4 linked regions of the Saccharomyces cerevisiae S288C genome follow. The protein of the gene in region 2 binds, or shares a complex with, the protein of the main gene of each other region. Each region holds a gene or a part of one and is shown on either strand. Other genes may lie near its edges. The genes, in order: SMD2, PRP6, SMD1 and SMD3.

Region 1 (4,425 bases), on a different chromosome or scaffold from region 2:
AGCACTGCTAAGATTGACTTCAACAATATGAAAATTTTAGAATGTAATTCAAATCCTTTGAAAGGTAGGGTGGAAAGCCTCTTAAATATTGGTGGTAATTTGGTCACACCGCTATGTTAAAAACAGTTACGCATACTAAGTAGACTACTTTATAGAAGTAATACCAAACCAAAATCTGGTTAGAACTGCCTTTTATTGTTTACCTTAATCACTCTTTACGTAATGAAACCTAGAGATGAAATTTTAAAAATTTTTTTTCACGAACATAAAGAATAACTCTTCTAGACCATCTCATCTCATCTCATCTCATCTCATTTCATTTCGATTCTTCTAATTTCTTTCATTGAGTAAGAGCCTTTTGTTTTGGCTGATAGTTATAGTCAATCTACAATTTATCTCACAAAAGAAATAGACTAAGCCAAAACTGCAACGAAAGATCAAAAAAATGAGCTATGAGAAAAAGTCTGTGGAAGGCGCTTATATTGACGATTCTACAACGTTCGAAGCATTTCATCTCGACTCTCGTTTATTACAAGCTATTAAGAATATAGGATTTCAGTACCCAACATTAATTCAATCACATGCTATTCCTTTGGCTTTACAACAGAAGAGAGATATTATAGCAAAGGCCGCTACAGGTTCCGGAAAAACTTTGGCATACCTCATTCCTGTAATTGAAACTATCCTAGAATATAAAAAAACAATTGATAACGGAGAGGAAAATGGTACACTAGGTATTATACTTGTTCCAACAAGAGAACTGGCTCAACAAGTATATAATGTTTTAGAAAAACTAGTCTTATATTGTTCAAAAGATATAAGAACTCTGAACATATCATCCGATATGTCTGACTCAGTTTTGAGCACTCTACTTATGGATCAACCAGAAATCATAGTTGGTACACCTGGTAAATTATTGGATTTGTTGCAAACAAAGATTAATTCTATCTCATTGAACGAACTAAAATTTTTAGTAGTTGATGAGGTGGATTTAGTGTTAACATTTGGTTATCAAGATGATTTAAACAAAATTGGAGAGTACTTACCATTGAAAAAAAATTTACAAACATTTTTGATGAGTGCAACCCTAAATGACGATATACAGGCTTTGAAACAAAAATTTTGTCGTTCTCCAGCTATTCTTAAATTCAATGACGAGGAAATAAATAAGAACCAAAACAAATTACTTCAATATTACGTTAAAGTCAGTGAATTTGACAAATTCTTACTATGCTATGTCATTTTTAAACTTAACTTAATCAAGGGTAAAACATTAATTTTTGTAAATAATATTGACAGAGGATATAGGCTCAAGCTAGTTATGGAACAATTTGGTATCAAGTCCTGTATTTTAAACAGCGAGCTACCCGTTAATTCGAGGCAACATATTGTTGACCAATTCAATAAAAACGTTTACCAACTATTGATTGCCACAGATGACACCGAGTACATAAAAGAGGAAGATGACGAAATAGAAGAAGGGCACAATACAGAAAATCAAGAAGAAAAAAGCTTGGAAGGCGAGCCTGAGAACGATAAGAAACCAAGCAAGAAAAAGAAGGTCCAAGTGAAGAAAGATAAGGAATATGGTGTTTCTCGTGGTGTTGATTTCAAAAATGTTGCATGTGTCCTCAATTTCGATTTACCTACGACGGCTAAGTCCTACGTGCATAGAGTAGGTAGAACTGCTCGTGGCGGAAAGACCGGTACTGCAATTTCATTCGTAGTCCCACTGAAAGAATTTGGTAAGCATAAGCCATCAATGCTACAGACAGCAAAGAAGGATGAAAGGATTCTTTCACGAATCATCAAACAACAGAGCAAACTTGGATTAGAATTACAGCCTTACAAATTCGATCAAAAGCAGGTCGAGGCGTTCCGTTACAGAATGGAAGACGGTTTCCGTGCTGTTACTCAAGTTGCCATTAGAGAAGCTAGGGTCAAAGAGTTGAAACAAGAACTATTGGCAAGTGAGAAGTTGAAAAGACATTTTGAGGAGAATCCAAAAGAGCTACAAAGTTTAAGACACGATAAAGAATTACATCCAGCAAGAGTGCAACAGCATTTAAAGCGTGTTCCAGATTACTTGCTTCCTGAATCAGCCAGAGGAAATGGAACCAAAGTCAAGTTTGTTCCTTTCCACAATGCTAAGAAGCGCCATTCACATAAAAAGGGAAGAGTCAGTAAGCCAAAGAATGGTAAAGTAGACCCGTTGAAGAACTTCAAATGATTAATAATATTGATATTTATTCTATATTTTATGTAAAAATCTACTTATTAAAAATGCTCTTTAGTTAAATGTGATAATATAGATGCTTTATTCGTTTTCTTGAATATAATACTTTCGCAAGAGCTAGAAAATCAGCCAATAATAATTGGTCTTACTTCCAAAATAAAAAAAGGCTTTCCGCTGACTGTAAAGTTTCTTACGATGATTTGCTTTCCTTGTTGATTGAGGGCTGCTTGTCTTACTTTTTACTCAACAGGGGTTTTTAACACAACGATAACTGAATCACCTCTTAAGAATAGTTTACTTATGAATCTTTCCCGATTAATTACATTTTTGCCCTTCTTCTCTGTCCAAAGCTCCTTCACATTTTCTAAAACCATATTACAATGCCTGTCGAAAGCTTTCACTCTCGCTATTATTTTATGATTGTTTCTTAATGAGATTATCACAGGTGTTCTTGTCACCATAGCATCATTTATCAGGGACATTGGACCATGTTTGAATTCAAATTCTTCTAGTTCCTCTAATTCTGCTCTAGAGAGTTCATGTTTTGGACGATCAATTATTTGTGAACTGGAAAGATACAAATCAATTACTTTTAAGTTAGTATATAAAAATTCACTCCAAATTATAGGATGTAAAAATGGTTAAGATCAAACATACGACATGATAAAACGGTTTTATAATACTCCTCTAATCAACTGTCAAAGGCGGGGCAAACGTGATGGCGCTTGCTATTAAGAATGATGATGTTCTAGTGATGATGTTCTTGTCATACCTTTTGAGTAAGATAATTTTCATTTGGTAGTATTACCCGTAGTAATATCACGATAGGACAAATTGGTCCCCATAAAGTCACTTCAAGAGCTCATGTACTGTAGGATTGTTCAGTGGTAAATCGACCTCTATTTTCTAATTTCTTTCGTATGTCTTTGATTTCAATTTCTTTTTTAAGAAGCTTTGAATTATTTTGATTGACGGTCATATCAAGTCTGTGCGTTTATTATACAAAAAGAATATGAGACGCAGATGAAACCTCAAAAAGTATAATTTCGTTTACAGAATTTATATAGAAATATAATAATGAAGTATTTGTAGCGAATTTTTTAGATTCATTACATGCAAACAAGTAGAAAAGGCGTCAAGCTAAGACTTTATTGTTGTCATACACCACTTCTGTAAATATTCTGTCCCTGGTGTCTCAATTGAATTGTTTCATGCTTCTCTAGGGCATATAAGGCCTTATCCAGTGCTAATTGAGAAAATCTATGTGTATCTACAAATTCTCTCCTCAAAGTTTGATAAGAAGTAGACCAGCCTATAGGTAATCTTCTTTTTAGTTCTTGTTCAAAACGACGGATTTCTGACAAAGATGTTCCGCTTGCTTGATTTAAGCCGCCAATTGGATCCTGAGACGCTGCGTCCATTGTGGAAGCTTGAAACAATCTAATAGCTTCGTCAACATGTCTCTCCTGTGCAATAGGACTTAATTCTAACTTGGCTAATGATTCTGTTATTCTAATAATAGCTTCTAATTGACGAATGGTAATTGGAATAGACGACCTTTCCGTTGACTCTAATTCGTTGATTAATAATTGCTTCCTAATGGTGACGAAGTTCGATGACAGTTTTTCAGCGGCCTGCGGTGAAAGTCTTGGTGCACATTTCAATCTACAATACGTAATGTAACGTTTCATCTTTTCAATACTAATTTCACTGCCATTTTCCTCTTGTTGGTTTTGCATAGCATTAGCATTTCCTGTATGAATATTAATAACGTGGTTAGCTATTGAAATATCACGTTCTTCATTATGGTCATCCTTAACAATAAAAATCATATCAAAACGGGATAAAATAGTAGTTTGGAAATCAATGTTGTCACCAGGAGACTTCAAATCATCATACCGGCCGTATATCGGATTAGCAGCCGCTAAAACACTAGTTCTAGAATTTAGCACTGTAGTGATACCAGCTTTTGCGATGGAGATTGTTTGCTGCTCCATAGCTTCATGAATGGCCACTCTATCTTCATCTCTCATTTTATCGAATTCATCGATGCATACAACACCACCATCGGCAAGCACCATAGCACCACCTTCCAAATAAAATTCTCTTGTCATCGGATCTCTTTGTACACTGGCAGTTAACCCAGCTGCAGAAGATCCCTTACCAGATGTATATACCGCAATAGGTGA
Region 2 (6,831 bases):
TTTCCGCCCTTTTCTTCTCTTGTTTTCTTCGATATTTGTTATTAACCTTTTCTCATTTACGATTATATAATCAAGTGTCAAGATTGTGTCAGCAAATAACAGTAATATTCCAACCCGAAAAAAACTATCTATTTATCTTTGGATACTTTAACATAGACAAGAAGTCCTAAGAACTTACCATAATTTTTTTTCTAAAAACCCTTTTTTACTCAAAACTAATAGCTTATTCTGGTTATTTTTAATCAATCTAGAATTTTTTTCTTTTAATTCCAAACAATCTAATAACGTTTAACCACTAATTCTTTAATTATTAATATTTAATTTTAAAAATCTTCTAATTTTCCTGATAACTTAAAGTGACACTATTTTTTAAAAAAAGCATCAAAATGTCTGATTATGTTGAACTATTGAAAAGAGGTGGTAACGAAGCCATCAAAATTAATCCACCAACCGGTGCTGATTTCCACATTACATCTCGTGGTTCAGACTGGCTTTTCACCGTTTTTTGTGTTAACCTACTATTCGGTGTGATTTTAGTCCCACTAATGTTTAGAAAACCAGTTAAGGACAGATTCGTATATTATACGGCCATTGCTCCAAATTTGTTCATGTCAATTGCTTATTTCACCATGGCTTCTAACTTGGGTTGGATCCCAGTCAGAGCAAAGTACAACCATGTACAAACTTCTACCCAAAAGGAGCACCCAGGTTACAGACAAATTTTTTACGCTAGATACGTTGGCTGGTTTTTGGCTTTCCCATGGCCAATTATTCAAATGTCTCTACTTGGTGGTACTCCATTATGGCAAATTGCTTTCAATGTTGGTATGACTGAAATATTTACTGTCTGCTGGTTGATTGCTGCCTGTGTCCACTCTACTTACAAATGGGGTTACTACACCATTGGTATTGGTGCTGCCATTGTTGTTTGTATTAGTTTGATGACAACTACATTCAACCTGGTCAAGGCCAGAGGTAAGGATGTCTCTAACGTTTTCATTACTTTCATGAGTGTCATCATGTTTTTGTGGCTGATTGCTTACCCAACCTGTTTTGGTATCACAGATGGTGGTAACGTTTTGCAACCAGATTCTGCTACCATTTTCTATGGTATTATTGATTTGTTGATCCTATCTATCTTGCCAGTTCTTTTCATGCCATTGGCTAACTATTTGGGGATTGAAAGATTAGGTTTAATCTTCGACGAAGAACCCGCTGAACATGTTGGTCCAGTTGCTGAAAAGAAGATGCCATCTCCAGCTTCTTTCAAGTCATCTGATTCTGACTCTAGTATCAAGGAGAAGTTAAAGCTAAAGAAGAAGCACAAGAAGGACAAGAAGAAGGCTAAGAAGGCTAAGAAGGCCAAGAAGGCCAAGAAAGCCCAAGAAGAGGAGGAGGATGTAGCCACCGACTCTGAGTAAATGCTTTGATCTGCTGATGTAGCAATGTTTTTTTCCTTCTTTTTCCTGACGTATTATTATTTGAGACCGAAACTTCGCTGGAAAAGAAACACTTCGATCCTTTTTTTATCTTCTGCATTATAACGCGCAACGATGAAGTGTTAATACATGAAAGAAGATGGGATTGGATTGTAGCGACCAAAGGCCACAAATAAATATGCACTGTTTTTAAATTTTTTTTTCATTAAAAAAATACGAATAAATTCCTTAAACACATACATCATTTTGCTTCAAATTTTTACGTTTGTAAGAAAGACCATTTGTTGTCTTAATACCTATGAAGCACTACTTATAATCTTAATTAAATCTAATTCTTTTCTTTAACTTTTTTTTTGAGCATCGCTTCTATCAATTATGTGTATACATACATACATACATATAAATATACGCGCAGGCTAAGTAGAAAACAACGCAAGATAGAATTACTTTATTTGTCATTCATCAAGCGCAATAAAATCTCTCTAGGTGTGCAGTATTGCATTTTTACGTTCTTGGAGGCGGCTATCCATTCGGGTCCGTAAGTAGGCTCACATTGATCGAACATATTGTAGAGATCAACAGTATCCTTGCCTAACCTTGCATATGTCCTAAATAGCCAAACCCATGTATCTCCGTAACGCGAGCACTTTTTCAGAGCTCTTTCTAACCATTTTAATGATGTTTCATATTGCGCTTCTGCATAAAAGGATACTCCAATCTCCAAAAGAACGCGATGATCGTTTTGTGTCCTTCTTAAAGCATCTTGAAAAATTGTTTTTTTTAACGAACTTTTGTTTCCATGCTTAAACAGCTTGATTTGCTCCACCCAAAGTAAAGCATTGCTTGGAAACTTTTGCAATGCCTGTGTGACGAGTAACTCCGCCTGATCTAAGTTACCAAGTCTTATTTCCATTTGGATTTTAGCAATGTAAAATAATACATCGTCAGGATTTTTTAACAATCCTCTATCTAAAATTGATCTTGCCCTTACTGGATTTTTTAGATCAATCTCGTCAATCTTTGATAGGGAAACCCATAATAAAGGGCAATTGGGCACTAACCTTGTACCAGACAAATAGGTTTCTCTACTCATTTCAATATTGCCCATGGAATGATAAATTTGACCCAGCTGTAAAAAAAATTTGTGGCAGATGGGAAATGATTTCAAACATCTCTCATTCAAGAATTTTATAGCCTCTTCATTCAGATCTTGGTACCGCAGAAAGTTTACGTATTTATAATATAATCTTTCCGTGCCACTGATCTTAAAATCCTCTAAAGAGGAGAAAGTTTGCTGAAAAAAATCTCGTAATTCATCAAGTTGTAGTGAACGACCTAATAACTTTATCTTGAAAAAGCGTAAATCCAAATTATGCGGGGCGAAATCTATAATCTGGTCAATCAAAACTAGTGTTTGCCTAGTATCCCCTTTTTGGGCCTTCCAATATTCGCTTACATACATCATTAACAAGCCAGGGCTTTTCTCCCTCATATTTGCTCGTATATCATCACTATTCTTGGTCTGAAATAGCAGCTCCTGGAAAAATGCTAATAACTCTTCAATTTTATGGTAGCTTTCAGTGGCCATTTTCAGTCTAGACCAAAGAACTGTATCACAAGGATCCCACTGAATAAGCTTTTTTAAGACAGCAATTTGTACCTTTGAGTGTGGCATTTTTTCTAATATCTGATCAACATTATTCAACTCAGACTCATACTCGCCACTTTCTCTTAACCATTCTAATATAGCGTAAACGATGGCTTGACAGGTTAAATTTGAATTGGGCGCATCATTTAGAGCCTCTGCACGTTTCAACCATGCTGACAAGGTCGCTTTGTACCCATTTTTAGAGAGTTCCAATAAACCCTCCTTGAGCAAACTAACTAGTTTATCTACAGGTATATCTGGGTTATTTCGTTCTTCCAAGAGTGTAGAGATAATCCAAATTTCCGGTTCTTGCGGAAGGATTTTTCTGAAGGAATTCAAAGTCATTTTAGCATTATGATAGCTTTGCAAATTAGTATATGCAGTCAAGAGATCCATACTTTGTGGAATAAATTGTGTGGCTTTCTCTAACATTTTTATAACTTGCGCTTTGTCAGCTTCAAAACTGACAGCTAGCTTCCATAGGCCCTCATCTCGAGGAATCTCTTGCAGTGCTTTTCTCACTACTCTATATTTGTTAACCGTTGTGCTTTCCAAATCAATAGCTTTGAACCAAAGAAGCGGAGACGTTGGATTAAAATTTATTGCCGTTGCCACTAATGTTTTACAGTAGTGAACATCAGATTCGTGTAGTCTAATGTTTTCTAGCCAAATATCGGAGCTTCGAGGGCACTCTTGGCAACCATTTTCTATTATTTTTTTTGCTACTGAAAATTTTCTTGCCTTTTCTTCTAATCTGGCAGAAGCTATCCAACCCTGTGGATTTGTTGGATCGGCCTTTCTGTATGACTTTAAAATTGTGCGCATTTTCTGTAAATCTTCTAACGTTGCGTCTGAGAGAGAATTTACTCTATCGTTTTCTAAGTCCTTTAAGTAACTTAGGGCATCGGTAGCAGCGTTCGGTTTATTAACCTGTATAGGGTTACTTGCATTCTTCGTTAATTGTGCAAGATTCTCATCTATTTGAGATTGCAATAATTTTTCTCGTTCTTCCGTTAATTTATTTAAATCAACATTCCCAGGTATTAGCGAATCCGGTGCAGCATAAGTTTTTCTGTTTAATTGCTCTTGAATTCTATTTCTCTTGTTTCTTCTTGTAAAATCTGTGGCATCCGGAATATCCATCCACTCACTCTCCGTTACAGCAGCTAATGATTCTTTCAAATCGGCAAATTGCCGTTTCACGTTTGAAGAATCAACTGAATTGTCATCATCCTTTTCATTAGCTCTTTTCTTTTTCTTTTGTGCTAATTTCAATTCAAGCGTTTTGAATACATTTGCAGCTTCATCATCTTCATCATCTTTCGGTTGGCTTTGAAGATGGTTGTTCAAATTTTCACGGTACCTTTTCGGTATTCTTCTTCCTTTGTCATCATTACTAACCACTTGCTTTTCTTTTGTTGAAAATCCAGTGGCTCCACGACCAATACCTGGTACGTAACCTGCAGGTGGTTCTTGATCCAAAAAAGATGGCCTCTCCATAAAATGTGACGTTTTCTTGCTGTTAAACTCTTTATGTCAACTCACCCGTATATTTTCTGAAATTTTTCGTTTTTTTTTGCTTAATAGAACAATCTGACACACTATAAATGTACTGGTTAAATTAGCCCAAGGTTCTATCAACGGTAAAGAAGACTTTTAAAAATACTTTCGTTACATTATTTATTAAAAGAAGAAACGCCATCATTTCATAAAGGTCTCCGGAGGAGCTACTAAAGAAAGAGTGCTGCAATTAATACAATTAATATAAGTGTGGTTATTGAAAATAACTATTCATTTATACGGAGGGTTGGCCGAGTGGTCTAAGGCGGCAGACTTAAGATCTGTTGGACGGTTGTCCGCGCGAGTTCGAACCTCGCATCCTTCAGTAATATTTTTTTAATATACATTTTCTCTGCCATCATGGCTTAAAAAATGCTTAAAAGAAGGGAATTAGGGGGGATGGATGAACTAAGACATAACTTTCTTTTCTTCAATTCGAACTCTGTTGGGAAGAGTTGCTTTAAAAAAGACTCTCTATCCATCTATAAAATTTATTAAAACTTTTGAACTGCACAGAATGATTGGCTCACTTAGAAACAAATTTGAGCATTTCAAAGTTTCTGAAAAGGGAGGTCAAAATTTATCTACAACACTACCGAAACTACCCCCTGCAAAGGACCTTGATAGATCAACTATCTACAAGTACCGTTACAATTATGGTGTAAACTTGGGTGCGTTATTTGTGCTCGAACCATGGATTTTTTCTAAAGAAACCATTTGTACAATCGATGGGAAAGAATATGATAGCGAATTTGATGCTATTTCCCAACAATTGAAGAAGCATTCTTCTGAAGACGTTGCGAAAATGTTAAGCGATCACTATAAAAAGTACATTGATCGAATTGACTGGGAATGGCTATCTAAAGATGCCCATATTACAGCGTTACGTATTCCAATTGGATATTGGCATGTCGAAGATGGGAAGCATTTAGATTCGCTTCCATTTGCCCCATTGAGAAAAGTTTATGAGTTAGCCAAACCTTGGGAAAAACTTGGCGAATTAATCAATAATGCCAAGAAAATGAGCATTGGTGTATTGATAGATTTGCATGGTCTACCAGGAGGCGCTAATTGCGACTCACACAGTGGCTCGAAGAGTGGTGAAGCTGCGTTTTTCCACAAGGAAAAGTACATGACCAAAGTCTACAAAGATATTTTACCTGCAATTATTAACACAATGACTCTGGGCAACGAAAACATCATTGGTATTCAAGTGGTTAATGAGGCATGTTTTGATAATAACCCAAAGGGCCAAAAATTCTATTATTCAGAAGCCATTAATACCGTTGAAAAACTTCAACCAGGTTTACCTGTCATAATATCCGATGGTTGGTGGCCCCAACAATGGGCAGACTGGGTTAAAGAAAAACATTTTAGTGAAATAGTGGTCATTGATTCTCATGTCTACCGCTGTTTTTCTGATTCTGATAAGTCGAAGGATGCCAATTCCATTATCAAGGATTTGCCAAATACTGTGAATTTTCCTCATGAAGATGCCGATTATACTGTTGGTGAATTTTCTGGTGTTCTTGATGGACAAACTTGGAATAAAACTTCTGGCGACAGAGACGCTATTGTTCAAAAATACGTACAAACCCAAGCAGATGTATTTTCTCATGTAGCTAGTTGGGGTTGGTTTTTTTGGACTTTGCAGTTTGAATACGGTGATGGAGGTGAATGGGGCTTAGCTCCCATGATGCAGAAAGGAAATTTACCAAAACGTCCTCACGGTGATGACTTACAAGTCGACAAGAAGAAAATAGATTCAATAATCCATGAACACGAGGCTTATTGGAACGGTAAAGGTAAAAATTTTGAACACTGGAGGTTTGAGGATGGCATAAAGACAGCTGTTGATGATATAATTGCCTTTAGGAAATTTGACAATTCATTAATTGGTAGATGGCATTCATGGAAGTCGCAAAGAAGAGCTGAATACGTTTCTGCCAAAAAAGATAGCGAATTTATGTGGGAATGGGATCAAGGCTACCAACGTGGGTTAGATGAGTTTAATAAGTATTAAGAAATATACAAACACATATATACTAACTATAGGCGTTTCTATTCTTTTGGTTTACTGTCGAAAATAAAAAAAAAGCTGTTGTGGCGGCACTTCGTAAGTTTTCAATTATCCAGCTACTGCCAGTAGAGTACTCAATACTTTTACTTTCAGCTGAAATGAGG
Region 3 (4,897 bases), on a different chromosome or scaffold from region 2:
CTATCGCAGTTACAGGAAAGGATTGAAGTAAGTTCATTGCAGTTAGGTTGTGTATAATTTTGGCAGTATAATAGGAAATCCGATTTTAGGGAGTCGTTTAAGTTAACTTCTTCTATCAAACAGCATATTTTGCCGAGAATAGTAGATGATAAATCAATATGGGAAAAATCTATTAATGAGTCTAACAAAGAGCCTCCTGAATGATTTTCTTTGGCCACAGAAAAGGAAGACAGCATTGATTCAGTAGGAACATTAAACAACGGCTGTAAAAAACAATGAAGTAATTCAGATACTATGCAAGTATGGTACTTTATCTCCCTCACACTCCCGCTATGGAAAGTAAAATTATGACTGTTTCTATTCTCTAGTACCATTGTATAATGGCTTTGAGGCAAAGTTATAGAAATCACCGATTTTTGTAAGCCAGGGTATTTCGAATACAAATTGTTGAGCTGTTCCTGCCAGACACTAATATCTATATCCGTTGTTTTACGTACAAAAATAGATAATGGTAAACCCTTCGAAACTTTGTTGGTATTATCGAACAGTTGCAAAGAAAATAATGATCTTTTTCCAGCCAGTTCTGTAAAATTTACAGAAATAAGATGGGATAAGTCCAAGTTAGACAATTGTGCCCGAATTTCCCTAGAATATTTCAAGTAAAGAGGTTGATTTGATTCCTTACTATCGGATAAATGGATAGTAAAGGGTAATTGTGTATCATTCCTTGATATAGACCTTCTGATCAACTCATCAATTGATTTTGACAACCCTATAATTGACTCCTCTATTATATTGGTAGTTAAAGGAGGGATCCTATGAAATTTTGATAAAAGAGATTTAAAGGACACATTCTCAAAGAAGTTCAGCGGTAAATTTTCTGAGGCTATGACTATGGCTACTAATTGGGAAATAGAAAGGTAATTACTGCTCTGTAATTTTCCTATGTCAAAGCATTTGAAACTTTGGTCGGAATTGAAGGTTAACGAATCATAGCCGTGTCTACGTGTAATTTCTGTGCTGGAAGTATTGTTTTTGAGATTGGAGTCTCCTACTGTGAAATTCATGGAATAGAAGTTTTTATTGGCACTTATATTATGCTTTGTTTTCAAGTGAGATCTAAAGGTTTTTGTCAAACTTGCATCGCTTCTTGTTAGTATCTCTCCACAATGTTTACATTTAACTTTCGTTAATTTCTTTTCAATTGCTAGAAAATGGGACCAGAACTTTGCTATATTCTTCTTGAGCATTTGAACCGGAATCCATATATTTAACCCATCATTTATGATTTCGTCTTCCGGATGAATTCTACTTGATAGGATTTTATTGCCGTCTTTTTCTATAAGTTCTATATCCTCAGTATCGTCTTCTTCCTCGTCTTCCTCCTCATGACTAGTAGAGTGAGAAGATGAATGATCAGAATTATTGATGATTTCGTTATCTTCTAAAGTCACCAAATCCCCATGTAAATCATCCAATGCAGTGTTCATATTAATGATTGAGTAGATTGGTACATATGCTATTTCGGAAGACTTTTGTTATTCTATGGTTTATCATCCCTTTATTTATTTTGTGTATTGTTTGCTGATCAAAAGTTGAAAATTTTTCGCCTAAAAAGTAAGATACAAAAGAAAATATTGTCGATGATTATTGCATGAATATATCAGCAAAGAGGAAAGGAAAACCTACTGAGGGACTTACATTTCTGCTGAAATATATAGTAATCTATCATGAGCAATGTGGCTGGGGAATTGAAGAATAGTGAGGGGAAAAAGAAAGGCAGGGGAAATAGGTATCATAACAAGAACAGAGGAAAAAGTAAGAATGAGACGGTAGATCCTAAAAAGAATGAGAATAAGGTTAATAATGCTACTAATGCTACCCACAACAATAGCAAAGGCAGAAGGAATAACAAGAAAAGGAACAGAGAGTATTATAACTATAAAAGAAAGGCTAGATTGGGTAAATCAACCGAGAATGAAGGATTTAAGCTTGTTATTAGATTGCTACCTCCAAATTTGACTGCAGATGAATTTTTTGCCATCTTACGAGATAATAATAACGATGATGGTGATAAGCAAGATATCCAGGGTAAACTCAAGTACAGTGACTGGTGTTTTTTTGAAGGTCATTATTCTAGTAAAGTATTCAAAAACTCGACATATTCTCGGTGCAATTTCTTGTTCGACAACTTATCAGACTTGGAAAAATGCGCAAATTTCATTAAAACTTGTAAATTCATTGATAATAAGGATAATATTACAATTCCAGATATGAAACTGTCGCCCTACGTAAAGAAATTCACTCAAACATCAAAAAAGGATGCCGCGCTAGTAGGAACAATTGAAGAAGACGAAATTTTTAAAACATTTATGAATTCAATGAAACAGCTGAATGAAAATGACGAGTACTCATTCCAAGATTTTAGCGTATTGAAATCTTTAGAAAAAGAATTCTCAAAAAGCATAGAGTTAGAAAATAAAATAGCAGAAAGAACAGAAAGGGTGTTAACAGAGCTGGTTGGAACTGGTGATAAGGTCAAGAATAAGAACAAAAAGAAGAAAAATAAAAACGCCAAAAAGAAATTCAAAGAAGAGGAAGCATCCGCTAAGATACCAAAGAAAAAACGGAACAGAGGCAAGAAGAAGCGTGAAAATCGTGAAAAAAGCACCATTTCTAAGACCAAGAACAGTAATGTGGTTATTATTGAGGAAGCGGGTAAAGAGGTTTTGAAACAAAGGAAGAAGAAAATGCTTTTGCAAGAGAAGTTAAAAATATCAAACTCCTCTCAGCCTCAGTCATCATCCGCTCAAACCCAGCCGTCGTTCCAACCTAAAGAAAACCTTTTCGTACCACGGGTAAAAATTTTGCATCGTGATGATACCAAGAAGTAGTAAAAGCTCATGGCTTCTTATATATTATATATGGAATACATTTATAATAAAATAATAAGAATTATATATTTTATGATTATATTATTACATAAAGTATTCCCCATTATAAATTCTGAGTTTCGTATTTAATGATTTTTCAATGAATATTTAAAATAATAAAATATATGAAATGTTCATATACAATGAAATTGTCATGAAGAAAGATGACTCCAAGTATCGTTTATAAATCGTCGAGAAAAAGATTATGAAGTTGGTTAACTTTTTAAAAAAGCTGCGCAATGAGCAGGTTACCATAGAACTAAAAAACGGTACCACCGTTTGGGGTACACTGCAGTCGGTATCACCACAAATGAATGCTATCTTAACTGACGTGAAGTTGACCCTACCACAACCCCGACTAAATAAATTGAACAGTAATGGTATTGCGATGGCTAGTCTGTACTTGACTGGAGGACAGCAACCTACTGCAAGTGACAACATAGCAAGTTTGCAATACATAAACATTAGAGGCAATACCATAAGACAGATAATCTTACCTGATTCCTTGAACCTGGATTCACTTTTGGTTGACCAAAAGCAACTTAATTCCCTAAGAAGATCGGGTCAAATTGCAAATGACCCCAGCAAAAAGAGAAGGCGCGATTTTGGTGCACCAGCGAATAAAAGGCCAAGAAGAGGTCTATGATTCGCTGCTGGTGTCGTTGTCATCTTCACTGTCACCATTACTTTCGCTTTCGCTAGAACTACTCTCTTCATCAGAGTTGTATATTTTATTCCATTGACATTTCCCTAATGGAATACCCCAGATATGGTCCTGTGTGGCCAACCAATCGACTAATTCATCAATGTGTATTATACAAAGTTCTTCGTTATAGGAGTGAGCAAAGCAGTCTACTTGTAGTGGGAAACTTTTTAGTTTGAAATAATGCTGTGAATATTTGTATAATTGTACTTTAAATAACTTTATCAAATCATTTTCATCATCATCGTTTTTGTTATTGCCATTCAAATAATAATACTGTAACCGCGCATAAACCAGAAGCAAAGCAATAATATATTTCGAGTCAAAACCGTTCTCATTTTTTACATTCAATAAGAAGTTCAACTGCTGGAAATTCGGTCTGATTTCGATTAACTTCATTAAGATGCATTTAAACTCAATGCCACCGAGAACCATCATGTGTAAATGACCATTTTGACCTTTTATGGTACCAAATGCGCCAATCATAACTTTCAAAAGCTCTACCATTGTATTGCCTCTCAAAGATTCGTTGCTTAGATTTACTTTATAGTACATTGAATTATGAATTTTATCTCTTGTCAACCGAGGAATAACAAGTGACACTGACTGGTTATTCAGTTGTTTTGGAGAGATGTTAGACTCCACTTGAAATTCATTGACAGCCATTGTAGTCCTTGTTCTTTACCCACGTTTTGTTTTTGTTCTTGCGTTTTTACTGCCACTGAAAATATAGCGTTGTAATGGCTTTAGATTTTACTTTTTTTTATCATAATTCTTGTTCAGAACGTTCGTTATTGATATCACAAAATTATTTACATGATTAGACATTAAAAACATAAAACAGTACACATAGGGTTTACTATTCTAAACTATAGTTATCTTCTCTCTTATTCTTCAGAACCAGCCTATACTTTGGTTTTTTTTCATTTTTTCTACTCTCTTGGCATACTTCGAACCCTTCTTGGAAGCAATCAACTCATCTACCTTCTTTAAAGCTTCTTCACGTTTTTTTAGCTTTTCGTTTAATTTCAATTCATGCTTATGACCCTTGGGCAAGAGAACACCTTTCATGAGGGTCTTTTTATTGTATTTCTCCTCGAAGAAAAGTTTCTTAGTGTTTTCGATCGGTGGTAAAAACTCTTCTACTCCATAACGCAGTGCCAACTTATATACGTCACTCATTCTTCTAAGTGAATATTTCGGATCATGAAATCGTTGTGTGACCGGATGTTTATTTGGCAGGAAAGGATTGGCATTAATG
Region 4 (4,322 bases), on a different chromosome or scaffold from region 2:
CCAATGGATCAACAGATTGATCATCAATATTCGGCTTTGGTACCGGGTGTTGAACTTTGTTGAAGACGGAAGGAGGAGCTTTTAAGTTAGAAAGGACAGGTGATTGAAAAATATTGTCACTATTCACCTGGCTGTCAGCTAAAGGGTTAGAACTGCTTGGTGTGCGCAGTGATTCACCTGCCACCCTATTTTCTCGAGGTTTACTGGAGTTCTCAGAAGAACAAACTGGTGGCTGAACATTTGCGCGAGGTGGTAAGGGAGGAGGTCCTCTATTGGTAGTACCGCCAGGTCTATTAGGAACAGGTGGAGGAATGGCTTGCCTACTGTAACACATCTTTTTACTTCTCGTATTTATTTATTTTTGTTTTTATGATACTAGCACTTTTCAGAAATTCATGAATTTTATTTATGGTTCCAAGAAAAAAACTTCAAAGAAATGAGTACTAGAATGATATATCCACAAAAAAAAAAAGAGCAGAAACAAAATGGATGAGATGGATAATGTGATACGATCTCTGGAGCAAGAATATCGGTTAATATTGCTCTTGAACCATAGGAACAAAAATCAACATAGAGCGGCTAGCTGGTATGGATCGTTCAATGAGATGAAAAGAAATTGTGGACAAATAATAACGCTTTTTAGCTCGAGAAGATTACAAGCCAAACGCCTTAAAGATGTTGAATGGGTCAAGTTGCACAGGCTATTACAGAGAGCACTTTTTAGACAGTTAAAGAGATGGTACTGGCAGTTCAATGGCGTAATTGCGCTGGGACAATTTGTAACGTTGGGTTGTACACTAGTAACATTGCTGGCAAATGTGAGGGCACTGTATATGAGATTATGGGAGATTAATGAAACTGAGTTTATAAGATGTGGATGCTTAATAAAGAACTTACCGAGAACAAAAGCAAAATCGGTTGTGAACGATGTCGAAGAACTTGGAGAAATTATAGATGAAGATATTGGCAACAACGTTCAAGAAAACGAACTAGTGATAACGTCTATACCAAAGCCTCTGACAGAGAACTGTAAGAAGAAAAAGAAAAGGAAAAAGAAGAACAAATCAGCCATTGATGGCATATTCGGATAAATATACAAGTAAATAGACTTTTTAAAATAATAATATCAATGCTAATAAATCATTCATTAATGACCTTGTCTGCCCAAGTAGGCAAAACAAACGCACTAGAATGTATTTGAGGATTATAGTACTTCAGCTTCCCTTGTTCTTGCTCAGATATCTTTCTTTGCGGAATGTTCAACGGTATATTGGCGTTATTACTGCAAACAATTAAACCTAATTGGCCAGATGTATAGGTTGGAACCATGGTATAGCAATATTCTGTATTAGGAAATACCTTTTTGGCTGTATTTTTCAAATCATGTAAGTATTTTAAATTTAACCAAAAATTTTCAGAGCTTTGCATAATAACAACGCCATTAGGATTTAAAGCATCTTTCAATAGTTCGAAATACCTCTCTTGAAAAAACGCTTCAGCTGGACCTTCAGGATCAGAACTATCTGTAATAATGACGTCAAATTTCTTATGGACGTCGGAAGCACCTATATCTTGTAAGAACTTGAAGCCATCGCAAAGTTTCAAGTCCAACCTTTCGTCATCGAAAGCACCATTACTCAATGTGGGCAAGAACTTACGGGATAATTCGATCACTGATGAGTCAATTTCTACCATAGTGATATCTTCTACACAGCTGTGCTTGGCTACTTCCCTTAAGACACCTCCGTCCCCACCGCCAATGATAAGTACACGCTTGGGATTAGAATGCGCAAACATGGCAATGTGGGTGATCATCTCTTGATAGGCAAACTCATCAAATTCCGTACATTGGACAATACCATCGAGGACCAAAACAGTACCGTATACCTTGTTACGGAAGATTAAGATGTCCTGAAATTCACTGCGGGCTTCATAAAGTATTGAGTCCACGGTCATAGTAAAGGCCTGGCCCGGAAAACTTTTATCATTAATCTCTCTAAACCATCCATCTTTGATGTAAGGATGCTGTGAATTATTAACCATAATGTATAACTGAATCTGTCACTTTATCCTGCCTGTCTCATCGGCGTTTTGATATTTTATTTTTAACTAAAATCAGCAGCAACTTGAAAAATTTTGAGATAACCTTAAAAAGGATCTAGCAATAAAGAGAAGCTCGAAGTAGCCATGGACACTGAAGAGAAAAAAAAGACTACAGCGTCAGTAGAGCATGCCCGGATGTTGCAAAATGAAATACAACAGTTATTTGCTCAGTTGCGGGATACGAATTCTCAAATTCGCTGCGATCTTAACGAGTTTGAACAAATAAAGGAATCATCTACAACAGCGGATTCAACCACGAACAGTGCGAACTGATAAATTTATATTCAAATATATTTTACATAAACAATATTAATATATATATATATTCCCCCTACAATGATGAATGCGTTTCTGCCGTCACGTTTCCTATTATCACCTTCTCTTAGGTCCTCTTATTGGTGGCATAGGTCTTGATGAGTTTTTTTTGAATAATGGTGCATTCTTTAAGAGATCTGGAACAACGATAAATTTGATCTGTGACCCACGTACGAATATTTGATCCATGTGTGTTACAGCCCCCTGGGGCTCTGTAGCTATTACATCTCTTAGCTGTACGTTCATGCTATCTTCGCTTTCAACAAGTTTACCACGATAAGTCGCTCCCGTTGTTAGCTCCAGAGAAACGATATGTCCCTGTGCCTCATTTAATAATTTCACTGGTATTCCATTCATAGTCATTGTTTCTGATACGTGCCTCGCAGCGCTTTCTGATTCTCTTCGTATTGCTCTTATAAGAATTTTTTAACGATTTCAAAAATATCAAATCTATAGAACGAAAGAAATAAGAAGCTGCCATCCCTAGAAAAGTAAAAACTATAAGGTACCAAGAAGTAAAAAGAGAAATATAGGGATATAATGATAAAAACACGTATAGAGGAAGTTCAGTTACAATTCCTCACAGGGAATACCGAACTTACGCATTTGAAAGTCTCCAATGATCAACTTATAGTAACGACACAACGGACAATTTACAGAATAAATTTACAAGATCCGGCCATCGTCAATCACTTTGACTGTCCATTAAGCAAGGAACTAGAAACTATAATGAATGTTCATGTTTCACCAATGGGTAGTGTCATTCTTATTCGAACCAACTTTGGCCGGTATATGTTGCTAAAGGATGGCGAATTCACTCAATTGAACAAAATAAAAAATCTCGACCTCAGCTCGCTACATTGGATCAACGAAACCACCTTTCTGATGGGAATCAAGAAGACGCCCAAGTTGTACCGAGTTGAATTGACAGGAAAGGATATAACCACGAAGCTATGGTATGAAAACAAGAAACTCTCTGGTGGAATTGATGGCATTGCGTATTGGGAGGGCTCTCTGCTATTAACTATAAAAGACAACATTTTATACTGGAGAGACGTGACAAATATGAAATTTCCTTTAGTATTACCAGATGAATCTGAGCAATTTGAAAGGTTAAAACATCATGCGATAAAGAAATTCGATTCGTACAATGGACTCTTTGCTTGGGTCACATCCAATGGAATTGTCTTTGGTGATTTAAAAGAAAAGCAAATGGAAAAAGATCCTGCTTCTAATAATTTTGGAAAATTCCTATCTTCGTCGAAGGTTCTACTCAATTTCGAACTGCCTGACTACCAGAATGATAAAGATCACCTCATCAAGGATATAGTTTTGACTGCTTTCCACATCCTGCTTTTGAGAAAAAATACGGTAACAATGGTGAGTCAATTAAATAACGACGTAGTGTTTCATGAAACTATACCGAGACACCAGTTGACTGGCTCCAACACTGATAGTAATGAGAAATTTTTAGGCCTAGTAAGAGATTCGGTGAAAGAAACGTTTTGGTGTTTCTCAAACATCAACGTCTTTGAAATTATTATCGAAAATGAGCCTAATTCGGTATGGAATTTATTAGTTCGGGATAACAAATTTGACAAGGCCCTATCGTTGAAAGGCTTGACGGTGAGGGAAATAGAATCTGTAAAACTTTCAAAGGCAATGTACCTTTTCCACACTGCTAAAGATTTTCATTCCGCGGCTCAAACTTTGGGAAGCATGAAGGACTTGTCACACTTTGGGGAAATCGCATTGAATTTTCTCCAAATAAAAGATTACAACGATTTGAACGTAATATTGATAAAACAGTTGGATAACGTTCCCTGGAAATCAACTCAAGTCGTCTTGTCGAGTTGGATTATTTGGAATTTTATGAAACAATTGAATGATATTGAATTAAAGAT

What was found.
Region 1: PRP6 (region 2) and SMD2 share a complex: the UniProt entries of both Saccharomyces cerevisiae proteins name them as parts of the U4/U6-U5 tri-snRNP complex.
Region 3: PRP6 (region 2) and SMD1 share a complex: the UniProt entries of both Saccharomyces cerevisiae proteins name them as parts of the U4/U6-U5 tri-snRNP complex.
Region 4: PRP6 (region 2) and SMD3 share a complex: the UniProt entries of both Saccharomyces cerevisiae proteins name them as parts of the U4/U6-U5 tri-snRNP complex.

Annotation. Positions count from the first base shown.
Region 1 is NC_001144.5:692,851-697,275, reverse strand, and holds SMD2 (mRNA splicing protein SMD2), read right to left. Parts: upstream 2,899-4,425; coding exon 2,894-2,898; intron 2,804-2,893; coding exon 2,476-2,803; downstream 1-2,475. Other genes in the region: cleavage polyadenylation factor subunit YSH1, read left to right, coding at 1-120; DBP9 (ATP-dependent DNA/RNA helicase), read left to right, coding at 446-2,230; MCM DNA helicase complex subunit MCM5, read right to left, coding at 3,394-4,425. UniProt on the Saccharomyces cerevisiae protein: Plays a role in pre-mRNA splicing as a core component of the spliceosomal U1, U2, U4 and U5 small nuclear ribonucleoproteins (snRNPs), the building blocks of the spliceosome.
Region 2 is NC_001134.8:342,715-349,545, forward strand, and holds PRP6 (U4/U6-U5 snRNP complex subunit PRP6), read right to left. Parts: upstream 4,588-6,831; coding exon 1,888-4,587; downstream 1-1,887. Other genes in the region: YRO2 (Yro2p), read left to right, coding at 387-1,421; MRX18 (17-beta-hydroxysteroid dehydrogenase-like protein), read left to right, coding at 5,165-6,670. UniProt on the Saccharomyces cerevisiae protein: Participates in pre-mRNA splicing. Part of the U4/U5/U6 tri-snRNP complex, one of the building blocks of the spliceosome.
Region 3 is NC_001139.9:632,574-637,470, forward strand, and holds SMD1 (mRNA splicing protein SMD1), read left to right. Parts: upstream 1-3,138; coding exon 3,139-3,579; downstream 3,580-4,897. Other genes in the region: ENV11 (Env11p), read right to left, coding at 1-1,490; UPF3 (Upf3p), read left to right, coding at 1,731-2,894; U4/U6-U5 snRNP complex subunit PRP38, read right to left, coding at 3,574-4,302; mitochondrial 54S ribosomal protein mL59 MRPL25, read right to left, coding at 4,531-4,897. UniProt on the Saccharomyces cerevisiae protein: lays a role in pre-mRNA splicing as a core component of the spliceosomal U1, U2, U4 and U5 small nuclear ribonucleoproteins (snRNPs), the building blocks of the spliceosome. Also binds telomerase RNA and is required for its accumulation.
Region 4 is NC_001144.5:431,683-436,004, forward strand, and holds SMD3 (mRNA splicing protein SMD3), read right to left. Parts: upstream 2,782-4,322; coding exon 2,476-2,781; downstream 1-2,475. Other genes in the region: ACF2 (endo-1,3(4)-beta-glucanase), read right to left, coding at 1-334; RMP1 (Rmp1p), read left to right, coding at 486-1,091; SPE4 (spermine synthase), read right to left, coding at 1,141-2,043; YLR146W-A (uncharacterized protein), read left to right, coding at 2,188-2,376; tethering complex subunit PEP3, read left to right, coding at 2,959-4,322. UniProt on the Saccharomyces cerevisiae protein: Plays a role in pre-mRNA splicing as a core component of the spliceosomal U1, U2, U4 and U5 small nuclear ribonucleoproteins (snRNPs), the building blocks of the spliceosome. Also binds telomerase RNA and is required for its accumulation.